Linked DNA regions of Kluyveromyces lactis. The protein of the gene in region 1 purifies or fractionates together with the protein of each later gene. This does not show direct contact. Links are inferred from orthologs where the notes say so. Each region holds a gene or a part of one and is shown in the gene's direction. Other genes may lie near its edges.

Region 1 (4,123 bases):
CAATAGGTTTCCCAAGATCAATAGAACAAGGAAGATGGAAACGAATAACGATTTAGTAGATTTTGTGAAGATAAGCACGATGGGCATGACACCTTCATGATTCATTACCTCAGAGACATCAGGTAGAATGAGCATCATTGGGATCAAGAAAAATAGTCCGGAAACTAGTGAGATTATCACAGAGCGTGTCATACTGTAAGGAATATCTTTCTCTGGTTTCTCAGTTTCGTCAGATAATGCCGATAACATCGCAAACCCTTGGAAAGTGAAATTAGATTGCTGAAACCCTCCAATTAAAAATGACAAGGCCATAGAACTATACCCCGACAAACTATTATCGAATTTGGTAAAGACATCCTTGAATGATCTATGGTTTGGTTGGAATAATAGGAGAAGTGTACTTGTGAATAATATCGCATATAAGATCCAGTAAACACAGACCTTATTGATAGTTTCAATGAAACTTGAAAATTTTAGATTAATGACTCCAACCACAGTCACAATGAGATAAAACATTAGCACAGTCCATAACGTCAACCACCGGGAGTCTATCAGAGATTCATTAGTCATTGTCAGCAAAGAAATAATCAATTGTGCACCCGCAAACGTAATACTAGTGCTCATCGTCCAACTTCCAAACAACATTAGCCAACCACAGTACCAAGACATACGCAACCGAAGTCTGCCAGGCGCAAGCATGGCCGCTGCACCGTGAAGTTCTATGGGGTACTTCGAGACTATCTCACTGAGCGACAGTGAACTAATCCACGTCATTATCCCACATATCAGATACCCAAATATTATCGATGGAGATCCACCATTTAGCAATCCAATACTCATAGTAGTGCTCATACCAAGTACGGGACTCATCAACCCAAACCCTAGACCAATAACAGAAGTCCGCGAAAGTAAATTCTTGTCAAGTTGCTGTACATATGTAAACTCTTTAACCTCATCGGGAATATCCTGGTCTTCCTCGTTCAATAAAGACAACAATCGCTCGGGAATGTGTATGTTCCCGTTAAGATTAGAAAGCCAGATGTATTCAGGCATTTCAAAATGCAGTTCGGCTCTGTGTGACCCCTTGGTAAGCTCACCCTTTTTATTTCCTAGAACCCTTTCGGCATCCGTCTTGGCAAAATGTCTGTCTTTTCGAGGGCTCATCGATATTTTCAGTTCTTAGACATTATGTAAATGTTGACGAAAGTCAAAGCTTCGAGTAATGAAGATAGAATGATAAGCACATGCATTGCTCTTAGGGAAGACTACTGCGATTTGGGTGACGTGACTCAGCACTGAGTACTTTTGGAAGGAAATACAATAATGGATGAAGATTTGTACGATGAGTTCGGTAATTTCATTGGGGATCCAATGCAATTAATCGATTCTGATGATGATAGTTTGGAAGAAGTAGGAGAGCAGGAAGCTCAACATGAATTACGGCAAAAGATAGTCGAGGCTGACTCTACCGATGTGGTACTTCGAGATGTGAACCGTGATTTCGATGATGATGTTGAAGTTTTGTTGGAAGTGGAAGATAGAGAACCTGAGAAACCATTGATTGGGGACGATTCGAAATCATATAGCGAAGCTGTTAACAGGAAAGTACCTAAAGCACTATTTGACAGAGGGTACTTGAAAAGCCTTTTCTCGATACCAGAACGTCAGTTAAATGTTGGAATTTTCGGGGCGCTACATTGTGGTAAGACTTCTTTCACGGATATGTTTGCGTTAGATACTCATCGCAATCTTCCGTCCTTGACAAAAAAAGTTAAGGAGGGATGGGTACCGTTTAGGTACCTCGACCAAGCGAGGATAGAAAAGGAACGTGGTATTTCGCTTAGATTGAATGGTATGTCGTTTGCATATGAATCGTCAAGAGGACGTACGTATGCAGTGACGATGTTGGACACACCTGGACATGTAAATTTTTGGGACGATGTCGGTATTGCTTTGACTGCTTGCCAATATGGTGTAATCATCGTTGATGTGATAGAAGGAATTACTTCTGTAGTTTCCAAACTGATAAGAGAATTGATAAGTAATGGGATCCCCTTTATCATCGTTCTTAACAAAATTGATAGATTAATTTTGGATTTGAGACTTCCTCCTACAGACGCATACAGCAAACTACAATATATCGTGAACGAAATAAACACATATACCAAAGAAAGATTCTCACCGGAGCTAGGTAATGTACTCTTTGCCAGTACCAAGTTTGGATTCTTATTCTCTGTGGAGTCTTTTGTGAACTCATTTTACGCTAAATCGTTAAAGGATAAGACAGAACAATTTGCTGCTCAACTTTGGGGTCAAATTAATTACAGAGAAGGAGCATTCTACCAAACAGAATTTATTACGGACAACATTGCATTCATTCAGTTTATTTTACAACCTTTATACAAGGTTTTCACTCATACATTATCTGCATCCGAGGAAGAACTAAGAACAGTCATCGAAACCAATTTTCAAATCAGGCTTTCAGATGAGATTCTATCAAAGGATCCTCAGCCGCTACTTTTTAGCGTGTTTCATGCTATACTACCGCACTATCACTGCTTCATCGATGCTATTGTTTCAACACAGGACCACAAAATCAACAACTTATCATCCGATGAAAGCACTGTTGTACATGTATTGAGACACATGAGCCTGGAAGGTTCCAAGTGGTCCCTTTGTCGGATAATAGAGGGCTCAGTGAAAAAAGGCAACAAACTCTATATTTTCAATGAGTCCGTAGACTCTGTAGTAGATTTTGGTGATGATGAATACTCCAAGGTTACTATTGAGCGTGTAGCCTTAATGGGAGGTAGGTATGTCTACGAACTCGAGGAAGCAATAAAAGGACAGATTGTACTTTTAAAAGGTTTTGAAGATCAGTATACGAAATATGCAACTTTGTCTTCGAGCTTGATGAACCCGCTAGCACCAATTAACTATCTCAACGAATCGGTGTTCAAATTCGCCATACAGCCTCAGAAACCAAGTGAACTACCGAGACTATTGAACGGTCTTCAACAAGCAAACGAATTGTACCCTGCATTAGTGGTTAGAGTTGAAGAAAGCGGCGAAAACATCATAATTGGAACAGGAGAACTTTACCTTGATTGCGTGATGGACGAATTACGGAAAAAATTCTGTGAAATTGAGATCAAAGTAAGCCAACCGCTTGTGCAATTCACGGAAAGTTGTCAGAACGAATCGTTCGCGTCAATTCCTGTAAAGTCAAACAACGGTGTAGTATCACTCAGCGTTATGGCCGAAAAATTAGATGGAAAGATAGTACACGATTTGACGCATGGTGAAATCGACAGTTCAGAATTGAATAACATGAGAAAGTTCTCCAAACGTCTAAGAACCGAGTATGGATGGGACTCATTGGCAGCTAGAAACTGCTGGGATTTATCAAAATGTAATGTATTCATTGACGATACTCTACCTGATGAAACGGATAAGCAACTACTCAAGAAATATAAAGAAAACATTTTACAAGGGTTTGAATGGGCTGTGAAAGAAGGACCATTGGCTGATGAAACAATCCATGCATGCCAATTTAAACTCTTGCAATTCAAGGTACAAGAAGACAGCATCGAAGATATCATCCCATCTCAACTAGTGCCAATGACGAGAAAGGCATGTTACATTGCGCTAATGTCTGCTACTCCAATTATCATGGAACCCATCTATGAAGTCGATATTATCGTATCGGGGGTATTGGAGTCTGTGATTCAGAATTTATTGAAGAGACGCAGAGGTGGAAGAATTTACAAGACAGAAAAGATAGTGGCATCACCATTCATAGAAATAAAGGCTCAATTACCTGTCATCGAGTCGATTGGATTTGAGACAGATCTTCGTGTTGCGACCGCCGGTAGCGGAATGTGTCAAATGCACTTTTGGAATAAAATATGGAGAAAAGTGCCAGGTGACGTACTTGACGAAGAAGCCTTCATACCGAAGTTGAAACCAGCGCCTGCTGCAAGCCTAAGCAGGGACTTTGTGATGAAGACAAGACGTCGCAAGGGTTTATCTGAAAGTGGTCACATGACTCAAGACGGGCCATCATTAAAGAAATACATTGATCAAGATCTATTCAAGAAGTTGCAACAAAAACGATTTGTAT
Region 2 (3,272 bases), on another chromosome or scaffold:
GAAGAAAATGAATGCCACAGAGAACGGCCCAGCCTGCTGGAAACAGAAAAAGCTAAATGTTAAGAATGGTCTGTAGCAGATTCATTCCAGGGTTTTTCCCAGCAGATTACCAGCCCGAAACTAAGAGAAAGAAACCAGAACGGGTGCGTTTATTCATCTCTGAAAGTATACAGTTTTCCGAGGTCATACCAGCCCACACTTTTAAACATGCATTTTTGCTTTCATTCATTTTTTTTTTACTATACTTCAATATATGAGTACATTATATATATTTTGTTTGGAATGGGTTCATAAGTTAATGCTATTGGAACCAGTGGCATCAGCAGTATTATCTGAATCCACGCCAACGGTTCTCCGGCCTTGAGATTGCAAAGATCTTTTTAATTTTGTGGACGCCGATTGGATGTCACCGGAAGATACAGTGCTAGCCCTGTGCTGTTCTTCTAGGTCCAAAGCTTGTAGCCTTTCGTTATAATTATCCAATACTTTTCCATTTTCCGCTAATGAGTCTTGGAATACTTGCAAATCCTTCTCATCAATATCATCATCGGAAAAATTCCCTTCCGCGTCCAATTCTTGTCTGTTCAATACCTCTTCACCCTTAAGCTTGGCAACGTACGCTTCTAACCTTCTGTTAGATCTTTGTAAATGCTTCACTGCATTATTGATCTCTTTTCTGATCTCTTGTAATTCATGCTCAGACGATTCTCTAATAGCAATCACGAACTCTTGAATCTGAATTGGTCTACGAATACCAGAAGAATGTGCCATATTTCTATGTTAAGTCTATCCTTAGCTATGTATGTTTTTTCACTTTTTAGTCTTGTTTCGGTTGGAAAGTACGAGATGAATTAAGATCGGTATCCTTAACTATATATTCAAGCTAGCCTTTTATAACAATAATTTAAGCCAGAGTTTATTCTCTTACTATTTATACCCAACGGTAAGATATCACGCCCCACATATGACACCCACCCCTCCGAGGCACCATCATTGCAAATCAGAGTGTATGATGCGCACGTTACTATGCTGACTTTTTCCAGCTCCAAAGCAACACTACTTGTTAAAAATCACATCAGCTTTTCTGCTTTCCTTTCTCCTGGGCTGGATTTCCCCGCCTAAGTCCTTCTCTGGGAACTGAACTTTGTCCCTTTCAGCAAAGAGTTGAGAAACTCACGAGGAACACAAAAACAACGAGAATTAGGGGCCGCTTATGTAATTCTTTTCATCCCATAAAACAGAAAAATTGTGCTGTTTTGGCTTCCACCCATACACTACGCACAATCAGGGGTTGGTGCAATTTCGGATATATTACCCGGGCATGGTGAATTTCATCATAGGCGTTACAGAGTGAAGATGTGATTCAGATTCTATATGAGAGAGAGTTCATTGCGATGCTAGAGAAGAGATGGACAAAAGACAAATGGTGATGTGTAATAGTAACTACGGATTGTCTGGAATAATCGGCCCTTTGTACAAAAATCATATCATCATATAATGGGCAATGATAATAATACTAATAGAGGGTTAAATCGGAAATTGCATTCTGCATTGAGTGTTGAGAATGTCAATTTATTGAGATTTCAAGGTAGACGTTGTGGAAACCCATACTTGCAAGACGTACAGGCTCATGGTTTTGAGCCAAAGGCAAGAGTATCGTCTCATTGGTATGAACCGGGAGAGGTTGTCCAGCATGCTGCAAAATTAAGACAAGAGAACCGTGAAAAGTCTGAAGAAGAAAGAATACGATGGGAAGCTGAACTGGAGAAACAGCAGGAAATCGAACGGAAAATAGAAATAGGGGAACTACCTGATAAGCATGAAGAAGTTTATTTTACCGATTTATCGGACGTTCCTGATGTGGAATGGTGGGATGTTCCATATATCAAAGATGGTAGCATCCATGAGAAATATAGTTTGGATTATTCCACATTGAATTCGGACGATGAAAGTGATGATGAAGAGGAAGAGGAAGAGGAAGGTGCACAAGATAAATTCCCAAGTATTAGGTATATTCAACATCCGGTACCGATTGAAAGGCCTAGGGCAGCTGTTCCAGTGGCAGAGATTTTCTTAACGAAAAACGAACGGAAAAAGGCCAGAAGGAATACGAGGAAGTTGGTACGACAGGAGAAGGAGGAGAAAATCAAGCTTGGTATAGAACCAAAACCAGAGCCCAAGGTTAAATTATCGAATATGATGAATGTGTATGAGAATGATGCCAATATTGCGGATCCAACTCAATGGGAATCCATCGTACGGAGACAAGTGGCAGAGAGGAAAAGGAAACATTTCGAAGAAAATGAAATAAGGCATCAAGAAAGCCTGAAACGAAGGAAGGAATCCCAGTTACAAGCACACAGCAATGATAGTCCTCTAGAATACACGTGTGTTGTTTACATGTTTGACGAAATACAGAATCCTAGTATCAGATACAAAATCAAAACCAACGGTAAGCAATTGAAGTTGAAAGGATGCTGTCTACACATTCAAAATGGCAAAGGTATAATTGTAGCTTTTGGAGATGAAAAATCTATCCGCTTTTTCGATAAGTTGGTGACAAAGCGAATCAATTGGTCGGAACCATACAAAGATAGAGATACCGAAGAGACAGTACCTTGCGACGGTAAAATTACAAAGGTTTGGCAAGGATTAATTGGTGATTGTAGATTCAAGGGCTGGTTCATGCTCGATTGTAAAGATAAAAACCAGTTAAATAATATCTTAGAGCAGCACGATGCATTGACTTTTGTACCATTAGGTAAGTTTTAACAAACAATTACGTACTGAAAATGAAATCCAAGTTCGAAATCATCAAAATTTTGGAATAAAAGTAATAGTGTATGTTAAAAAAAATAAAACCGGAGTAAATCCAACGACCTACTTAGAACATTTATTTACATGGGGTGAGTAGGCAGTCCAAGTGACGCACAATGGTCAACATTATTGAGTTTTATCACTACCAACATCAAAAAAAAGTCATATTTATATAAATAATATCTCCCTTCGTCTCTCAAAATTCAATCATCAATAACAGAGAAAGATACTGGCTCATAACATCGTTCTTTAAATTTAATTCTGGTGTAACGTTCGAGACCTTTATTCGACGACCTTGGCCAAGATTTCAGAGTCTCTGAATAAAACGACTTCATCATCCTTGCCCAACTTGATTGTGGATCCACCGAATTGTGGGATCAAAACTTGGTCACCTGGTTGGACAGATGGTGTAATCTTGTTACCGTTGGAATCGGTGAAACCTGGACCAGCAGCCA
Region 3 (4,254 bases), on another chromosome or scaffold:
AGATCAACATTGTGGTCAGTAAGAACTTGGATTGCCATGATTATCGCTGCACCTGAAATTATCTGCGCATCCATCAGTAGCACTTGGTTATAATTTTCGATCATTGGTGGAATAAATAAACTGTGCAATTGTGGTTCCCCTGTTCTGGAATCGGATTGAATAAGTAGCTTACCAACTGCGACGCTAGGAATTGTCTTTCTTAGAGATCTCATGAAACAGTCGCCAGATCTAACAATATTTATAGCTGTGACACGGTCAAAGTCAACAAAAACTGGATTATCCAACTGTTTTCCTGTCGGCGTAATAACTTTAGTCGTTTTCAATTTCGTAGGTATATCGTCCAATGCAAAGGATAAAAGTATTGTTGCTAACCTGTCAAAATAGAATACCCAGTCATCTCTTGAAACGCTTTTGTCTAACAATATAGTCTGTAGAGCCTTCACCTGATTAGTTTGTCTCAACTTATGAATTATATTTAAAGAATCAATCGACACAGCGTATGACTCGAGCTTTTGAAGTTCTGCTAAATGCTGCTGCGATTTGAGCTGCAATTTAGACTGAATGTGATTAAGTAACATCTCAGTCGCAATGCTGTTATCTGACATGGATGGGATGATTGCATCTGCTGCCTTCATGGTTGGTTTCACGAACCTATCCGCATTTGGTTTAACAAACTTCTCCCATTGTCTTATGCAACCATGCAAGTCTCTCCCACGAGAGATGATATCCCTTGTCAATCTTCTAGCTAAACATATATCTAAATCTGCATCCACGTAAACCTTCAAATCCATTAAATCAAGAAGTCTTTGGTCATATAATGCGTAAATTCCTTCAATAACAATAACACTCGCACCATAGATGGTTAAAAACTTATTTGGAATTCTATCATGATCTGTGAACGAATAGGTTGGGATTTTCACCTTCTTACCTTCTTTCAAAGACAGGATACATTGATAAGCTAGATCCAAATCTATTGAATCCGGTTTATCGAAATCGTAGTTATTTTCGAAAGCCTGCTTTCGTTCTTCGACGGTTAACGGTTTATAGAAATTGTCCAACGATATTAATACTGTCCATGGAGTGTTGATTCTTGTCACGAGTTTGGTAGCAACACTCGTCTTTCCAGAACCTGAACTCCCTCCAATACCAATAACATACGGTGTTGTCCAAGGTGGTATATAGCCAGAAGAGTTCATTCTGGACGCCTTGCAAGCGTTTTATGAACACTAAATGTCCTATGCCTGGAACTGTCTATGTCTGTTTTCTGATTCAGATAATGTTTATCTGGAAGGTTTCTATCAGTCATTTGGCATAGTTTTCAACATTTGATATTGCAAGAAAGCCACTCGATGTACCTTTCACGATTAGAAACTAAAGGTGAGGGAAGAAGAAGAAATAAGCGCTACGAAATCAGGTAGAACGCTCTCGCAGCATACCGAATCGCAGTTCATACTATGGGAACCTCAGGTGATGAAAATGGTACTAAACTTACGGGATCAGGACAGCGCAGAGCGAAGAGAACTTATGAAAGCATAGAATCGGTAAATGCAAATACTAACTCATTCTCACCTGCAGATCAAGTTTTGGACAGTAGCCCGGACCCTTCATTGAAGGATGGTAAGGCTCATTATTCGGTTAACTCGATTAAGTCAATGGTTGAGCAAAAAGTTTTGACTAAGAGACAGCGTTCTCAGTTGCACTGGCTGGTTAAAGATCTTCAGATTTTAGAAGATGACATAAAACGTTATGGTTGGAATAACTTAACTGTTAGTGAACGAGAAGAGATATCGCTGAAAAGAGAGCTATTGAAGCTCTTAAATGAAACTGGAAAAGACTATGCTGAAAATGGAGATACAAGTGGATTCAAAATGCAAGATGAGGTCGCATCAAAGAAACAACTATTGACCGCCAAACTTCGAAACAAAACCGATAGGGTGAACTGGGAAGAGGAGCAAATGAAGAAAAGTGTAATTAAGGCAGATGCAGATGAAATCAAAGTTAAGGATTCAGATAATTACGAATTTGTTTTTGATCCTGAGTCCATGATTGATTTTACTGATGATACGACAGATATTTTAGAACCTGTTGAAGACGGTAGATTGGCTGAAGCGTTAGAAGAACAAATTAACAAGATGAAGAGTATTAAAGAAACGAGGAAGTCATTGCCAGTTTATCAATATAGACAAGAAATTTTGGATAGTATTCGGCAACATCAAATTTTGATTGTTGTTGGTGAAACGGGGTCTGGGAAAACCACCCAACTTCCACAGTTCCTTGTGGAGGATGGTTACACCAACGATGGAAAATGCGTGGTTTGCACACAACCACGTAGAGTTGCTGCAACTAGTATTGCTTCAAGAGTTGCTGATGAAATGGATGTAATATTGGGGAAAGAAGTCGGTTATAATATCAGATTTGATGACCGAACAACGCCTGATAAAACAATCTTAAAATATACGACAGATGGGATGTTACTTCGAGAATTTCTTAATGACCCACAACTATCATCGTATAGTGCAATAATGATTGACGAGGCTCACGAGCGCACGTTATCTACAGATATTTTGTTGGGGTTGCTAAGGGGTATTTTACAAGACAGAAAAGATCTTCGACTTATAATTTCTAGTGCAACTATGAATGCTACTAAATTCTCCAAGTTCTTCTTTGATTGTCCGATATTTAATGTTCCTGGTAGACGCTTTCCTGTGGATATTCACTATACACTTCAACCAGAAGGAAACTATATAAATGCTGCGATCACCACCATCTTTCAAATTCATACCACCCAAAAATTACCAGGTGATATTTTGGTATTTCTAACTGGTCAAGAGGAAATAGAATCGATGCAAACAAAATTACTTGAGATTCTTTCCAAGCTTGATAATACAAAATTTCCAGATCTCTTGGTAGTACCTATATATGCCAATCTTCCTCAAGAACAACAATCCAAAATTTTTGAACCTACACCGAAGAACTGCAGAAAAGTAGTGCTTGCGACAAATATTGCAGAGACATCGTTAACAATTGACGGCATAAAGTTCGTGGTAGATCCAGGTTTTGTGAAGGAACAATCCTATTCAGGAGGAGTTTCAAAGCTAGTGACAGTTCCATGTTCTAGGGCATCTGTTGACCAGAGAGCAGGGAGAGCAGGGAGATTGGGTCCAGGCAAATGTTTTAGATTATTTACAAAATGGTCTTACTACAATGAGCTTGAAAAAGTACCAAAGCCAGAGATTTTGAGAACAAAATTGAATCAAGTGGTTCTACTTTTGCTTTCACTAGGTATCAACGACTTACTTCACTTTCCAATGTTGGACAAACCAAAAACTATCCAGCTAAGCGAAGCCCTCGAAAATTTGTATGCCATTGGCGCTCTCAATAGCAGAGGTGCAATCACAAAAGTAGGACAAGTTATGTGTGATTTCCCATGTGATCCTGAATATGCCAAGGTAATATATTCTAGCGTGTTTGAAGAAAGCTGTAATGGTGTTCTACCTGAAATTGTTACGATTGTCTCTATGCTTCAAGAGAGCAACTCTATATTTGTACCGGGACTCAATTCGGAAGAAAAGACAAAACTTTTTGGGTCATTGATGCAGTCAAGTGACCACATGCTATACTTGTGGATATATGAACAATGGGAAGAGAATGGATACTCACGAAGATGGTGTCAAGATTTCAAGTTGCAACATAAAACAATGAAACGAGTATTGAGGATACGACAACAATTATGGAAATATTGTAGGAAACAAGATTTTCTGCTTAAGCATGACCAAAACCTTACTCAACTCAAAGAAAACATGCCTCGTTCCGTCATTGAAGCAAAAATCATTAAATGCTTTATATCAGGATTTCCAACAAATATAGCAAAGCTCTCTAAACAAGGCTATACTAACATAAAGCAAGATTTATCCGTCAGCGTTCACCCATCTAGTGTTATTTTCAACCGAATGAAACAAGAAGGAAAACCAATGAAATACATCCTCTATCAATCTTTGATGCTTACAAGTAAAGAATTCATTAGAGATTGTATAACATTTGATAAATACGAATGGCTCACTGAAACTATGCCACATATTTATAAATGAATCTTTGTATCCCCAGTTAATTGAGGAGTAACATATGCAACATTTTCTAAGAAGCTTTTCAGAACATCACGCCAAATTGTTGGCGAGTCCACCTATGTTCTGAAAAACCAATTGTAGAATAATCGAAATCAAATCAGTTATTTTTCTAATTACTTCTAATGTTCAA
Region 4 (3,114 bases), on another chromosome or scaffold:
CGCTTTGCAAGGTTCCAAGAAGGCTACTTGGTTGTATTGGTGGATCAAATGTTGTGGTTGCAGAGTGTTGCATCGTCAGGATAGAGGAAGAGTATGGGATGTGTTGCTCGGATGGAGACCACGTCCTGAATCAATCAACTATTATCTCGAGTACAACCATAAATCATTTGAAAGCATTTATCCACCTGAATTGAAACTGAGTTCAGAGATTTTCCATAAGATTTGCAAATGTGAACATGATGAGTTTTGGTTCCCAGATTTGATGTCGTTAAGGCTCGGTCAAAATGGATTGAACCAAGATGAAGATGTCATTCGGGAATTGATACGAAGAAATAAATATGGGGACGATGGTCATACTACAGAAACACAAGAAAATGAGATTCCATATTCGCTCTTGAACCCTCATGCGGAGTTACTTTTCATATATGTTGCCATTATGCAACATAACGAATTTAAACTTTTAGAGTTTGAGGAAACAGAGATCACCGAGTTCTTAAATAATGTCCCACTGATATCAAAATTCGATGACTACAACTTCAAGAAGATGTACGAGGATGATGACATTAGTGGAAGTTCGACAGACACAGATGAATCCAACGCTTCAGGAATTAGACCAAGTTCTTCAAATCATATGATGATAGAGGTCGGTACTGACGATAAGACTGCACACTCGTTTGATGACATCTACCAGCAGGCTGGAGACATCTGGAGAAATTGGGCTTGGCAGGAAATGGAAGAATTCATAGAAGAATGATATATCAGCATTATATTTGTGTCTTTCTTGTATGTAGTATATCTTCTTTTCCTTTAATTAGCATATATATATATAAAAATACTATATACATCTCGAGCTCTATGAATATTGCAGATTGTATTCTAACCTGTTGGAGCGTTCTAACCAGCCAACTAAGATGTGAGTTGATTTGTTAAATAAAGTCATTTCTTCATCCAGTATTTTTTTGCATGTTCAAAAGAGAAACGAAAGCATTTTTATTTAACATTAGAAAACCAACATAAATGTTACATGAAAGATGAAGCACCGATATACATAATTAGATAATGGCTTCAAAAAGGAGAACCTTGGGGCTTACTTCTGGTGAAACTACTTAAGGACTGGCTAAATTGAGGTACGCTAATTATGTTCTGTGCAATTAGTGGGAAACCACCTATAAAAGCTGTTCTTTCACCTAATTCCAAATGTATATTTGAACAGCATCTAATCGAACAGTATATTGAACAGAAAGGAACAGATCCCATAACGGATGATCCATTACAAAAAACAGATTTGGTTGAAATCAATGCGACTCCACAGCAGATATCACTTTCAGAATCATTGAGCTCGTCTACTATCGCAAACAACTATAGCATTCCAAGTCTATTGTCAACTTTGCAGAAAGAATGGGATGCAGTAATGCTCGAGAATTTCGAATTAAGGAAGCAGTTAGACGTTTGTAAAAAGAATCTCAGTGATACACTTTACAGGTTTGACGCTGTTGCATCAGCGGCAGCAAAAGCTTTTGTAGAGCGAGATCAGCTGAAGCAAGAATTAGCAGAACTTACATCGGCAATAACTTCCTCGAATGTCGAAAATGATGGAACTATTGATAAACTCCAGAACTCAGACCAAATTCTATCAGACTTTACTTCAGAATTATCGACGAAATCTCAAGAGTACGTGACAAATTCCAAAAAGTCTAAGAAAAAGCTACAACACTTCTCCAACGTTTCAGTCGTTCAATCGACAGATTTCTCTGAAATTGATTTGATTAGCAGAAATCAGCATGTCAATCTTAATGAAAGATCTGTTGTTGTAAAAGATAATGACAAAGCTTTTGTGTTTGGACCTCAAGATTCTATTCTTGATGTGTCACAAGCCACAGAATATCTGGTGGAGTTTAAAGACGTTCTATACACCTTCACCCAGGGACTATTAGCAGCGTATGACCTTCATACAAAGTCTTTGTTGTATGAAGAAGTTTTGGAAGGAACTGATGGGCCAGTGATATTTATGGCTTATCCTCATCAAATATCGGATTCTTACTTCTTATTCGTAACTGAAAGAGGTACAATATATGGGTATGAAGTTACCAAAAAAGCACTGTTCACCATCTCACAAGTTAAATTGAACGATTCCGTTCAATTTGTGAATTATCATAAAGATGGAGCTCTTCTTGCTATTGGTAACCAAAACGAAGGTGTATATGTAATAAACCTATTGGCTGCTACAAAAGATCCGATTAAATTTTCAACTGGCTTCCCAGCTAAAAGAGTAGACTTTGGTTTGAACGGTTATTGGATGTTTGTCTTTGGTGATTCTGACTTGAATGTTTACGATTTAAGAAAGGATCCAGGCACCTTGGCAATGGAACCACTTTCTTTCGCTGAGAATATCATCAGTGTGGAGTTGGACGATACAGCTAAAGGTTTTTTCGTAAGCATGGGTAATTCACAAGTACAATGGTATGAGTATGTTAAGGGACAGTCATTTGTCGAAAAATCTACTCTTCCGATCGAAACAAATACAGCAGAATCCATGACATTGGTAAAAATAGATCAAGGATATTTCTTGAACGTCATCTCGGAGAATAAATGCATAACATATGAGTTGAAGTAGATATATGATACTTGTCCTAAATAAGGTATAAAAATTGTAATTATTAGAATAATCACTGATTTGATGGTGAGAGTCGTTAAATATATGATCCGATAATACGTCGAAAAATGAACATGTATGAACTCGCCCCCATATATGTACGTGATTTCATCGTAAAAAGAAGTGAAAATCATGCTCTTTAAATATCGAACTGTGTTTGTGTTTTTCTTGCAAGTGAATAAACGGGAAAGAAGATGGCATTACAGAATATGAAAAAGGGATTACCCCGAAGAACTCTTCTTTACCATCTGCTAGTCATGATTGTAGTTGGCTTTTTTGTTTTAGTAATTGTTCGATGTCTTCCTTCATACTTTTCGGTTTCGTCAACGTGGAATACCGTCCATGGACTCTCCCTGAGCGATCGATCAAAAACTTCTCAAAATTCCATCTAACGAACGTGAACCCAAACATTCGCGGTTGTTGATCTTTCAAGTACTTATATAGCGGAAGAGCATTGACAC
Region 5 (2,386 bases), on another chromosome or scaffold:
TTGAAACCTCACGGTATTAAAAGAAAGAGATAAAAGAAGTTTGCTTCCGATTAGATGTTTACATGAAACAATATCTATTTTTTTTTTCATTACGACTATTCCTTTTCTACAAATTTTCATACATAGTGTATCATGAATCATTGATGAATATTTCATTTCTCTCCTTTTATGGCTTTATTATACTGATAATAGTAATTCCGTTCGTTCGCACCTTTCTCAATCTTGAAATACAATATCATAATACTGTCACAATCACTGATTTCTTTTTCTCATTTTTACTTCCTTTTTACACTAGGCCAATACAATTTTCAACTACTTGTTTTTCGACATACGTTTTCTAATCTTTATAACAATTCAACCATATCTCATCTCATAAATGTCTGAAATACTTTGGTATTCATGTCTATCAGTTTGTTTGTTTTCTTGTCGTCTATACCGTATATGTCATTGTATTACGTATCCAATGTGTGGTAAACAGGTACTGCTGCTAATTCTATCTTGATAGTTTACTGCCTCTACAGTGGTATATATTGTGACGGATTAGTTATCAGTATCATATATCACGGTCCGCTCGTTAATGTCGATCTTCATTATTTTCAGTTGTTGGGTTGTTGGCAAAAGCAAAAAATTTCAAAAATACTCCGATACGGGGAGTCGAACCCCGGTCTCCACGGTGAAAGCGTGATGTGATAGCCGTTACACTATATCGGATAGTAACCATACAAAATAGAAATCAACATTAGTTTTTATTATGGAAACAGTATCACTTGAAACCTTCTCTTCAGATATTGTTAGTATGTAGCTGAATCTCTTGGAAATACTTGTGTAGTCAATTTTAACAATCAGCACCTATTTAACAGGGATCTTATTCTTCTTGGTGGCATGGGGGTGTGTTATGAATTCTAAAATGGTATCTTCCCACATTTCCCTTATGGCTATTGAGAATCATTTCTGTCAAAGTAGAGTGCATAACAATATTTTTCCAGAGAAACCACTGGATAGTCTCAAATTTAATTAATTGAAAGTTACTTATTATTCTTTCTCAGCAGTCAAGAGCTTCGATGCAGTGTCCACCCGATTTGTTTATTTGATTTTTCACAACCTGTCACTGACACAAAGTATTCAGTACTTATAATATGGCTTATATGGAAAAAAAAAAAAAACTTGAAAGATTCATTCAACTTTAAATTTGGGATTGAAATGATTAAGTAAAATCTATAGGTTCATAAGACACCATAGCTCCAGATAAACTCCAAATACCCCAAACTAGCATCAGTCAAGCAAATACCATGTCTCTAGCGGAGTTTGATGAGATTAAGTACGATCACAGTTGTGATAGGTTAGATAAGCCCTCTCGTTATTTGATCCGTAAGGCTAGACGTGACCCAGATTCTGGATTGCAACAGTTGAGAAAATCTATGAAATCCTGTACAGTTTATGTGGGTAATCTATCGTTTTACACAAGTGAAGAGCAAATATATGAGCTATTCTCCAAATGTGGCACCATAAAAAAGATTATCATGGGTCTAGATAGGTTCAAGTTTACGCCGTGTGGATTTTGTTTTATTATATTCGATAAGATGGAAGACGCATTGAATTCTATAAAATACTTGGGTGACACGAAGTTAGATGACCGTCATATAACCATTGACTTGGATCCTGGGTTCGAAGAGGGAAGACAGTTCGGTAGAGGTAAGAATGGTGGTCAAGTTAGTGATGAGATGAGATTCGAATTCGATGCGTCCAGAGGTGGGTTCTACACTCCACTTGAGAATAGAATTGGAACAAATGCCAACTTCGGGGCCAGAAGAGTTAAAAACATTCCAATACAGCAAGAGGATGAAGAATATGAAGAAGATGAAGATGCTTACATTCCAGGCCAATAAAAACAGTACAATCATAAGGTCGTTTATCGATGTGTATATATCACATTTCAATCTAAGTACCTATTTCACTAAGTTAATTGATTTAAAAGAATAATACTGTGGTAAGAAGTATTTTATTTGAATATATAGCTAGTTCATATTAGAGCTAAAGATATCTCGATATAATAAAAAATTTTGCCGCTTTAATCCATCAATAGGAGTTGGGTGAAATGAATGGATGGTAGATAAAAGAGCAGACAAACACTAATAAACTAATAAATGAAAGAAAGTTAAAGCTGTGCCTTATAATGAGCTCGTGACAGCTGGAATTGAAGATTGACCGTAGACAAAACAAAAAAAATTAAGAATATAAAGAATTAGGAGAAAGAAAAGACCACCTTAATATGAAGGGGTAAAATCTTCTTCTCATGCATGCTAAACGATAACCGAAAAAGTGTAGATTTATGATATGCATTACGACAAATGTCACGATGGTTGTCGACGATGAGAAGGTGGGGGCA
Region 6 (2,124 bases), on another chromosome or scaffold:
GACTTTGTGTTCTGAGGAAGATTCGAACCGAAGTCGCAACGTGGCCTTTTTACCAGCTACGGCACAACACCCGACTCAAACCAATTACGAATTCATTCAGTAGTAGACCCTGTCACGTGTGTGTCAGGTGTCATTTCCGTAGTTCAGAGTATCATCCACGAGGCCAAGGACGAGAATATAATTAAACTTATGTAAATTATCAACTCCCTATAACTCATCATCTGTGAGCATCAATTCATCGTCAGCTAATGGCGTGAATTGAGGACCTACTTCAACAACGGCAGGTCTCACAAACCCGCCGTAATTCTTTTTTACTGGTCCGAAATACTTCGTTCCTTGGAATGTACCATTGTTCTTACCGTCAGGTTCGTCAAATTCAATTCCACACCATACATCTGTATTACTGATCTCTTGAACTTTTCCCACGTATCGTAACCATCCTCTTCTTTCGGGGACCTTGGTGGAATCGGTCGTTGTTTCCTCGTTGGACAGTACTCTGCATCTTTCTCCAACGTGTTTTTGTAATAGTTCTGCCTTATCGATATTCAGTTGTAGTTGTTCTTCCATCTTAGAGCGGTATTCAGGATTAAATTTCCCTAACTTGTTATCTTTTTTCCATTGTAATACAGAATCCCTTCTGTTCTCATAATCGTCCATGGTGTATCGGAACGAAACGTCATCGCTATTAGCATGTAGCAAATCATTTTTCAATTGGCTTGCTAAACTGTTTTCGTTGGTGTCTATCACTTTTATGGACTGGATTTTCTCTACTTTCTGGTCTTTGAGATCTTTCAAATACTTGCTGTTCTGTGCATTGCCATTTATCACCAATTTCATGTCTTGAACATCAACACCGGTCAATTCGTTCAATCTTTGGCCCAGATGGTCCCATGATGTACCAGGTTTCACAAAGATCTGAGTGTTAACCAAATCGGATATAATTTCCACGTCAGATGACATTATCGGTGCTGATATATCCTCTGTTTTATTTTGTCTTCGATGCTGTAAGTTCAATGTTTGTCGTTTTGTCCAGGCATGTTTGAACATCGAATTTTTCAATGTTCCGTAAACTTAAATGAAAAGTTAATTTGAAACCAGTAACACACTTTGACAATAACCCATTGAGCAAACAGCGCTACCCCACCCAACCAACTACTAATAATGAGCGAAGCAGTATGTTAACTACTATAATTAGGACGGCTTTCTAAAACTTCTTCAACTTTCTCAAAACAATGATCCATTCTACATTTTAAGTTCAAATTTACTAACAGTTAGAGAGTTTATACATTCCCCTTCTCTGCAGAGGCAATCACAACAACCGAGACAAGAGCAGAAGAAGAAGTTCGAAGGCCCAAAGCGTGAGTCTATCATAAATCTTGCACAATATAAGGACACAGAAGTACGTGTCAAGTTCATAGGGGGAAGACTGGTCACTGGAATCCTAAAGGGTTATGACGAGCTAATGAACTTGGTTCTTGACGAAACCGTCGAATATGCAAGAGACCCAGAAGATGAAACCATCATCCACAAGGACCAAGCCAAAAAAATTGGTTTGGTCGTCATAAGAGGAACAGCTCTACTTTCGCTATGTTCCCTCGAAGGTGCTGAGATCATCAATACCTAGTTAAGACCCAAAAAAAAAAAATTTCAAGCAACAGTGTACCATATATGTTCATTAATAGTGCTATATAACGTTCAGTGCTATATCAAACTCACACTATGAGCCCATATCCACATTTCTACCTGTATCTAATGAAATAAGTATCTCCAACGGAGATACTTTCCTAACCGGCTACATCTCACTTATCAAGACCTAATCTGCACAAATGTGCGTTCACGTGACTTATTGAATCTTTTTTCTAACATCAGCAAAGCTTTTTGGTTAAATTTCGACCAAAAAACCGTATCTCATCGCATCGACTGATTAGAGAGATATCTTGAATTCTTTAAACCGACTGCGTCCAGGTGTTCATTTATATATATGTGAGTATATATCTCTTGTGAGAGTTGTTCTTTTAACGTTTCAAATTCTCTTTTCGCTTGTTGCTGCAAATCTGTTTGAATAATATTTTCTGTAGTATTCTTACTCTTTACTGAAGACCAATCAATTAGCGCATCAAAGCG
Region 7 (4,008 bases), on another chromosome or scaffold:
TCTGTCCAATCCATTCAATAGTCTCTGTGTGACCACCATCCCATCATCACCACCATCCAATGCTAGAAAGAGCCACTCATCATCACGAACAGCATGATTTGAATGAGGCAGTTCTGGTACAGTTTCTGCAGGTACATATGGTGGATTAAAGACAAGCAGGTCGACCTCATTTTCCCTTATTGAAGACGTAAGGTCTGTTTGTAATACATCAAAATGGCTATTCTTGCAACCATTCTTCGAACAAGTGTCTAAGGTAGCGTCCAATGCCCAAGGGTTCAAATCAGTTGCCAAATAAAGTCCATTGGCGTTTGGTATACCATTTTGCATAAGAAACGTAGAGACTATCCCAGAACCAGAACCAATTTCTATAGTCAATGGTACTGCGTCATTGAACCTGTTATTCAACCAACTCAGATCAGCTTCTAATGCATCTAATAAAAGAAAAGAGTCCTCGCTTGGCTCGTATACTTTATTATAATCATAAGAGACGTATGGTGTAGCTAGCATCGCCCTGTTATCCTAAGCCCTGATGAGCTATAGCTCGCATCAATATCTGTTCTGCACCTGTATCTTTTCAAACATGGAAGTCATCGCATATATAATATTGTATTTGAAAAGTTGATATTGAACAATAACGTATGCAAAAGGTCATCTAAAAGAAAGTAATTAAATTGAAGCTTAACAACTAGTCTACTGTTTGATACAACTATTAATCACCATTTTCAGAGAATCGACAATCAGTTGCTTGTTTGTGGTTGAGAAAGATGCAATTAAAGGTCAAGACATTAACAGGGAAGGAAATCTCCGTAGATGTTCAAAGTTCAGAAACGGTCTATCATATCAAAGAGCTATTAGAAGAAAAAGAGGGTATTCCACCATCACAGCAGAAGTTGATCTTCCAGGGCAAACAAATGTATGTTAATTAACTGATAATTCAGAACTGAGAAGAGTTTGATATCAAATTAATGTAGGGACTCTTTTACTAACTAGTAAGTAATGCTATCTTTAAATCAGAGATGATAACGCAACAATCGGCAGTGCCGACTTGCAAGATGGATCTCTTTTACATCTTGTTCTAACTTTAAGAGGCGGTTGTTGAGAGCCATGTGTCATTGCATTGCGAAACCTCAAGATACGTATGTGTATAAGTATTTTGCAGATAAATACCTGGAGGAATTACTCTGCATTTAATAAAACGACTATAATTATTGGAAGCTAACACTATGAATGACATAATTTACATTTACACGACCGTCCAATTATCAAACAAAGGAAGGATGTAACACATGCTTGTTGCTTTTCCTTGTATGCATGAATGAACCTTATAAATACATAATGATTCAGATATCAAATTTAGTGCGAACATTATAATTGTAGAAACAGATGAACTTAACGACAACGATGCAAACAAAAGTAAGAAAAACACGGATAACTTACCTGACTATACTGTAACATGGGTGACAATAGTTTATCCAATGAAGCCATCACTGCCGATAATATTTTGAAGGATGCCTTTAGCCAAAAGAAGCAGATTGCAGCTACTACGAAGGCAGATATATTAGATTTGGAAGAACTGAAAGACTGGCAACGAAGGAAAAGAACAGAGTATGAGACAGTTTTGAAAAGAAATAGGTTAGACCTTCGTCAATGGATGAGGTATGCTCAATTTGAATTTGATCAGAAAGATATACGAAGAGCTAGGTCCATTTATGAACGCGCTCTTCTTGTTGATCATGGGTTTATTCCACTATGGATTCAATACATCGACAGTGAAATCAAATGGAAAAATATCAACCATGCAAGGAACTTGTTAGACAGAGCAACAAACGCTCTTCCTCGTGTTGATAAGCTCTGGTTCAAATATCTTTTATTGGAAGAATCTTTGGGAAATCAGGGTATTGTACGAGGCATTTATACAAGATGGTGTTCATTTGAACCTGGTCCCGATGCATGGGACTCCTTCATCGAGTTCGAAACAAGGTGCTTGAATTTTGAAAATGTCAGGAACATTTACTCGAAGTTTGTTCTAGTCCATCCTCAAATAGATACCTGGTTGAAATGGGTTCGTTTTGAACAAACTCATGGAGATATATCATCCGTACGAACAGTGTTCTCATTCGCGCTAGACACACTCACAAGTTTCAGCGGAACACCACTGGTAGATATTGAACGAGTTATTGGTAGCTTCGCTTCCTGGGAAGCTTCTCAGGGAGAGTATGAACGATCTAGAACGTTATACCGACTAGCAGTTGAAAGATGGCCAATTTCTGAAGCATTAAAGGAACAGCAGATTCAGTTCGAGAAGAAGTTCGGCTCTTCGAAAAATATGGAGGACATAGTAATCGCTAAAAGGAAAGCCGAGTACGAGCAATATCTAAAATCAGATCCCTATCATTATTCTACTTGGTGGGTCTATATTGACCTGGTTGAGGAAAAATATCAAGAGCAATTGACATCAGCTTTCCAGTCGTTCATTGAATTGGCAAAGCCGAAGTCCCTGGTAAAGGATTCGAGCTGGAAGAGGTACATAAGAATCTGCGTACGATACTTGGTCTATCTAGAGCTCACCATTAATGATTTGCCTACGATACGCTCGGTTTATCAAGACATCCTCGACATCATTCCACATAAGAAGTTTACATTCGGTAAACTGTGGATAATGTATGCAGAATTCGAAATTAGGCAGAACAACTTGCTGAAAGCAAGAAAAATTCTGGGTGTGAGCTTAGGAAAGTCCCCCAAGCCAAAAGTGTTTAAATATTACATCAATTTGGAGATAAGGCTAAAAGAGTTTGATAGAGTGAGAAAGCTATACGAGAAATACATCGATTTCAATCCTAGTTCAGTGCAATCATGGTTGGATTATGCAGAATTAGAAGAAAATTTAGGAGATGAAGATAGATCAAGAGGGATCTATGATATCTCCATGAGCAATAATGTTGGATTATCTGAATCGGACCAGCTGATTGTCATTCAGCGCTATATCGCTTTTGAAACTGATGCAGCAGAATATGAAAAGGCTAGAGAGTTGTACGAGAAGTATTTGATTTTGAGTAGATATGACGTGAACATATGGATAAACCAGGCGCTTTTCGAGAGCACTATTCCAACTGAGACCCAACTAATAGCCTATCAACAATCTCATCAAGACGGGAATTTTGACGACGATGGCGAAGAGGAGTTCAGTTTTGAAATTACACCTGAGAATAAGCATCACACCAGGGCTATTTTTGAGAAGGCAATTTCATATTTCAAAGAACATAATGAAGATAAGAAACGCCAGCAAGTTTTACAATCTCTCCTGGAGTATGAGAAAGTTCATGGTAATCAAGAAACTTTGGAAAAGGTCAATGCTAGACAACCAAGTTTGGTTAGGGAAAAAGTTACTATCGATAACATTGAGCAAGAGTCATATAAATTGGATTTTCCGGACGATCGTGTTGCTCAACCTCCTATTGCTCGAAATCTTCTAGCTTTGGCAAAACAATGGGAGAAAAATTCCAGCTGATATGTAACTTTATATTCATATACAGATAATACAATTGTAGATTTAGAACACGCATTTAATCAGGTTGGCATATAGGCTATTGAGAAAAAATACGAATTGTATTAATTATTCGTTTCATTATCGGTAAAACTTTGTGGCAACTGGTTTGACGGTATCGAACTGGGTGTTGATATCGTAGAAGGGGTAAGCCCAGGTGCATTCATTGTCGGTACAGATCCTGGGGGCATTAATCCTGGAGGAACGTTGCCTGGTGCTGCTGCCAATCCTGGTGCTGCCAATCCTGGTGCTGCCAATCCTGGTGCTGCCAATCCTGGTGCTGCCAATCCTGGTGCTGCCAATCCTGGTGCTGCCAATCCTGGTGCTGCCATTCCTGGTGCTGCCATTCCTGGTGCTGCCATTCCGGGAGGAGATAAACCTGGGGGTGCCATTCCTGGAGTAGCAATATTTAAGTTTCCTTCAGTGATACCTATTCCAGACGTTGAATTTTCTGCAGCCAGAGA

What was found.
Region 2: the proteins of SNU114 (region 1) and PRP3 purify together in Saccharomyces cerevisiae (affinity purification with mass spectrometry; 4 studies listed by BioGRID). This does not show direct contact. The link is inferred for Kluyveromyces lactis from reciprocal best matches to the Saccharomyces cerevisiae genes SNU114 and PRP3.
Region 3: the proteins of SNU114 (region 1) and PRP2 purify together in Saccharomyces cerevisiae (affinity purification with mass spectrometry; 3 studies listed by BioGRID, with this or other methods). This does not show direct contact. The link is inferred for Kluyveromyces lactis from reciprocal best matches to the Saccharomyces cerevisiae genes SNU114 and PRP2.
Region 4: the proteins of SNU114 (region 1) and PRP19 purify together in Saccharomyces cerevisiae (affinity purification with mass spectrometry; 4 studies listed by BioGRID, with this or other methods). This does not show direct contact. The link is inferred for Kluyveromyces lactis from reciprocal best matches to the Saccharomyces cerevisiae genes SNU114 and PRP19.
Region 5: the proteins of SNU114 (region 1) and CBC2 purify together in Saccharomyces cerevisiae (affinity purification with mass spectrometry; 3 studies listed by BioGRID). This does not show direct contact. The link is inferred for Kluyveromyces lactis from reciprocal best matches to the Saccharomyces cerevisiae genes SNU114 and CBC2.
Region 6: the proteins of SNU114 (region 1) and LSM7 purify together in Saccharomyces cerevisiae (affinity purification with mass spectrometry; 3 studies listed by BioGRID). This does not show direct contact. The link is inferred for Kluyveromyces lactis from reciprocal best matches to the Saccharomyces cerevisiae genes SNU114 and LSM7.
Region 7: the proteins of SNU114 (region 1) and CLF1 purify together in Saccharomyces cerevisiae (affinity purification with mass spectrometry; 4 studies listed by BioGRID). This does not show direct contact. The link is inferred for Kluyveromyces lactis from reciprocal best matches to the Saccharomyces cerevisiae genes SNU114 and CLF1.

What each region holds. Positions count from the first base shown.
Region 1 is NC_006037.1:603,688-607,810, forward strand, and holds the start of SNU114 (U5 snRNP GTPase SNU114), read left to right. Parts: upstream 1-1,323; coding exon 1,324-4,123. Other genes in the region: TPO5 (Tpo5p), read right to left, coding at 1-1,164. UniProt on the Saccharomyces cerevisiae protein: Component of the U5 snRNP complex required for pre-mRNA splicing. Binds GTP.
Region 2 is NC_006041.1:826,747-830,018, forward strand, and holds PRP3 (U4/U6-U5 snRNP complex subunit PRP3), read left to right. Parts: upstream 1-1,497; coding exon 1,498-2,772; downstream 2,773-3,272. Other genes in the region: TMA17 (Tma17p), read right to left, coding at 289-771; HSP10 (Hsp10p), read right to left, coding at 3,100-3,272.
Region 3 is NC_006042.1:601,535-605,788, forward strand, and holds PRP2 (DEAH-box RNA-dependent ATPase PRP2), read left to right. Parts: upstream 1-1,454; coding exon 1,455-4,088; downstream 4,089-4,254. Other genes in the region: uridine kinase URK1, read right to left, coding at 1-1,196. UniProt on the Saccharomyces cerevisiae protein: Involved in pre-mRNA splicing. Is required together with ATP and at least one other factor, for the first cleavage-ligation reaction.
Region 4 is NC_006040.1:327,220-330,333, forward strand, and holds PRP19 (E3 ubiquitin-protein ligase PRP19), read left to right. Parts: upstream 1-1,138; coding exon 1,139-2,614; downstream 2,615-3,114. Other genes in the region: OCA5 (Oca5p), read left to right, coding at 1-754; KLLA0_D03905g (glutathione peroxidase), read right to left, coding at 2,909-3,114. UniProt on the Saccharomyces cerevisiae protein: Probable ubiquitin-protein ligase involved in pre-mRNA splicing.
Region 5 is NC_006038.1:914,012-916,397, reverse strand, and holds CBC2 (nuclear cap-binding protein subunit CBC2), read left to right. Parts: upstream 1-1,289; coding exon 1,290-1,886; downstream 1,887-2,386. Other genes in the region: KLLA0_B10450g (homeobox domain-containing protein), read right to left, coding at 2,352-2,386.
Region 6 is NC_006041.1:2,037,120-2,039,243, forward strand, and holds LSM7 (Sm-like protein LSM7), read left to right. Parts: upstream 1-1,161; coding exon 1,162-1,173; intron 1,174-1,303; coding exon 1,304-1,624; downstream 1,625-2,124. Other genes in the region: ALF1 (Alf1p), read right to left, coding at 208-960. UniProt on the Saccharomyces cerevisiae protein: Component of LSm protein complexes, which are involved in RNA processing and may function in a chaperone-like manner. Component of the cytoplasmic LSM1-LSM7 complex which is involved in mRNA degradation by activating the decapping step.
Region 7 is NC_006042.1:1,644,139-1,648,146, forward strand, and holds CLF1 (Clf1p), read left to right. Parts: upstream 1-1,453; coding exon 1,454-3,508; downstream 3,509-4,008. Other genes in the region: MTQ2 (S-adenosylmethionine-dependent methyltransferase), read right to left, coding at 1-507; NEDD8 family protein RUB1, read left to right, coding at 765-913, 1,015-1,099; mRNA splicing protein MSL5, read right to left, coding at 3,610-4,008. UniProt on the Saccharomyces cerevisiae protein: Involved in pre-mRNA splicing and cell cycle progression. Required for the spliceosome assembly by promoting the functional integration of the U4/U6.U5 tri-snRNP particle into the U1-, U2-dependent pre-spliceosome.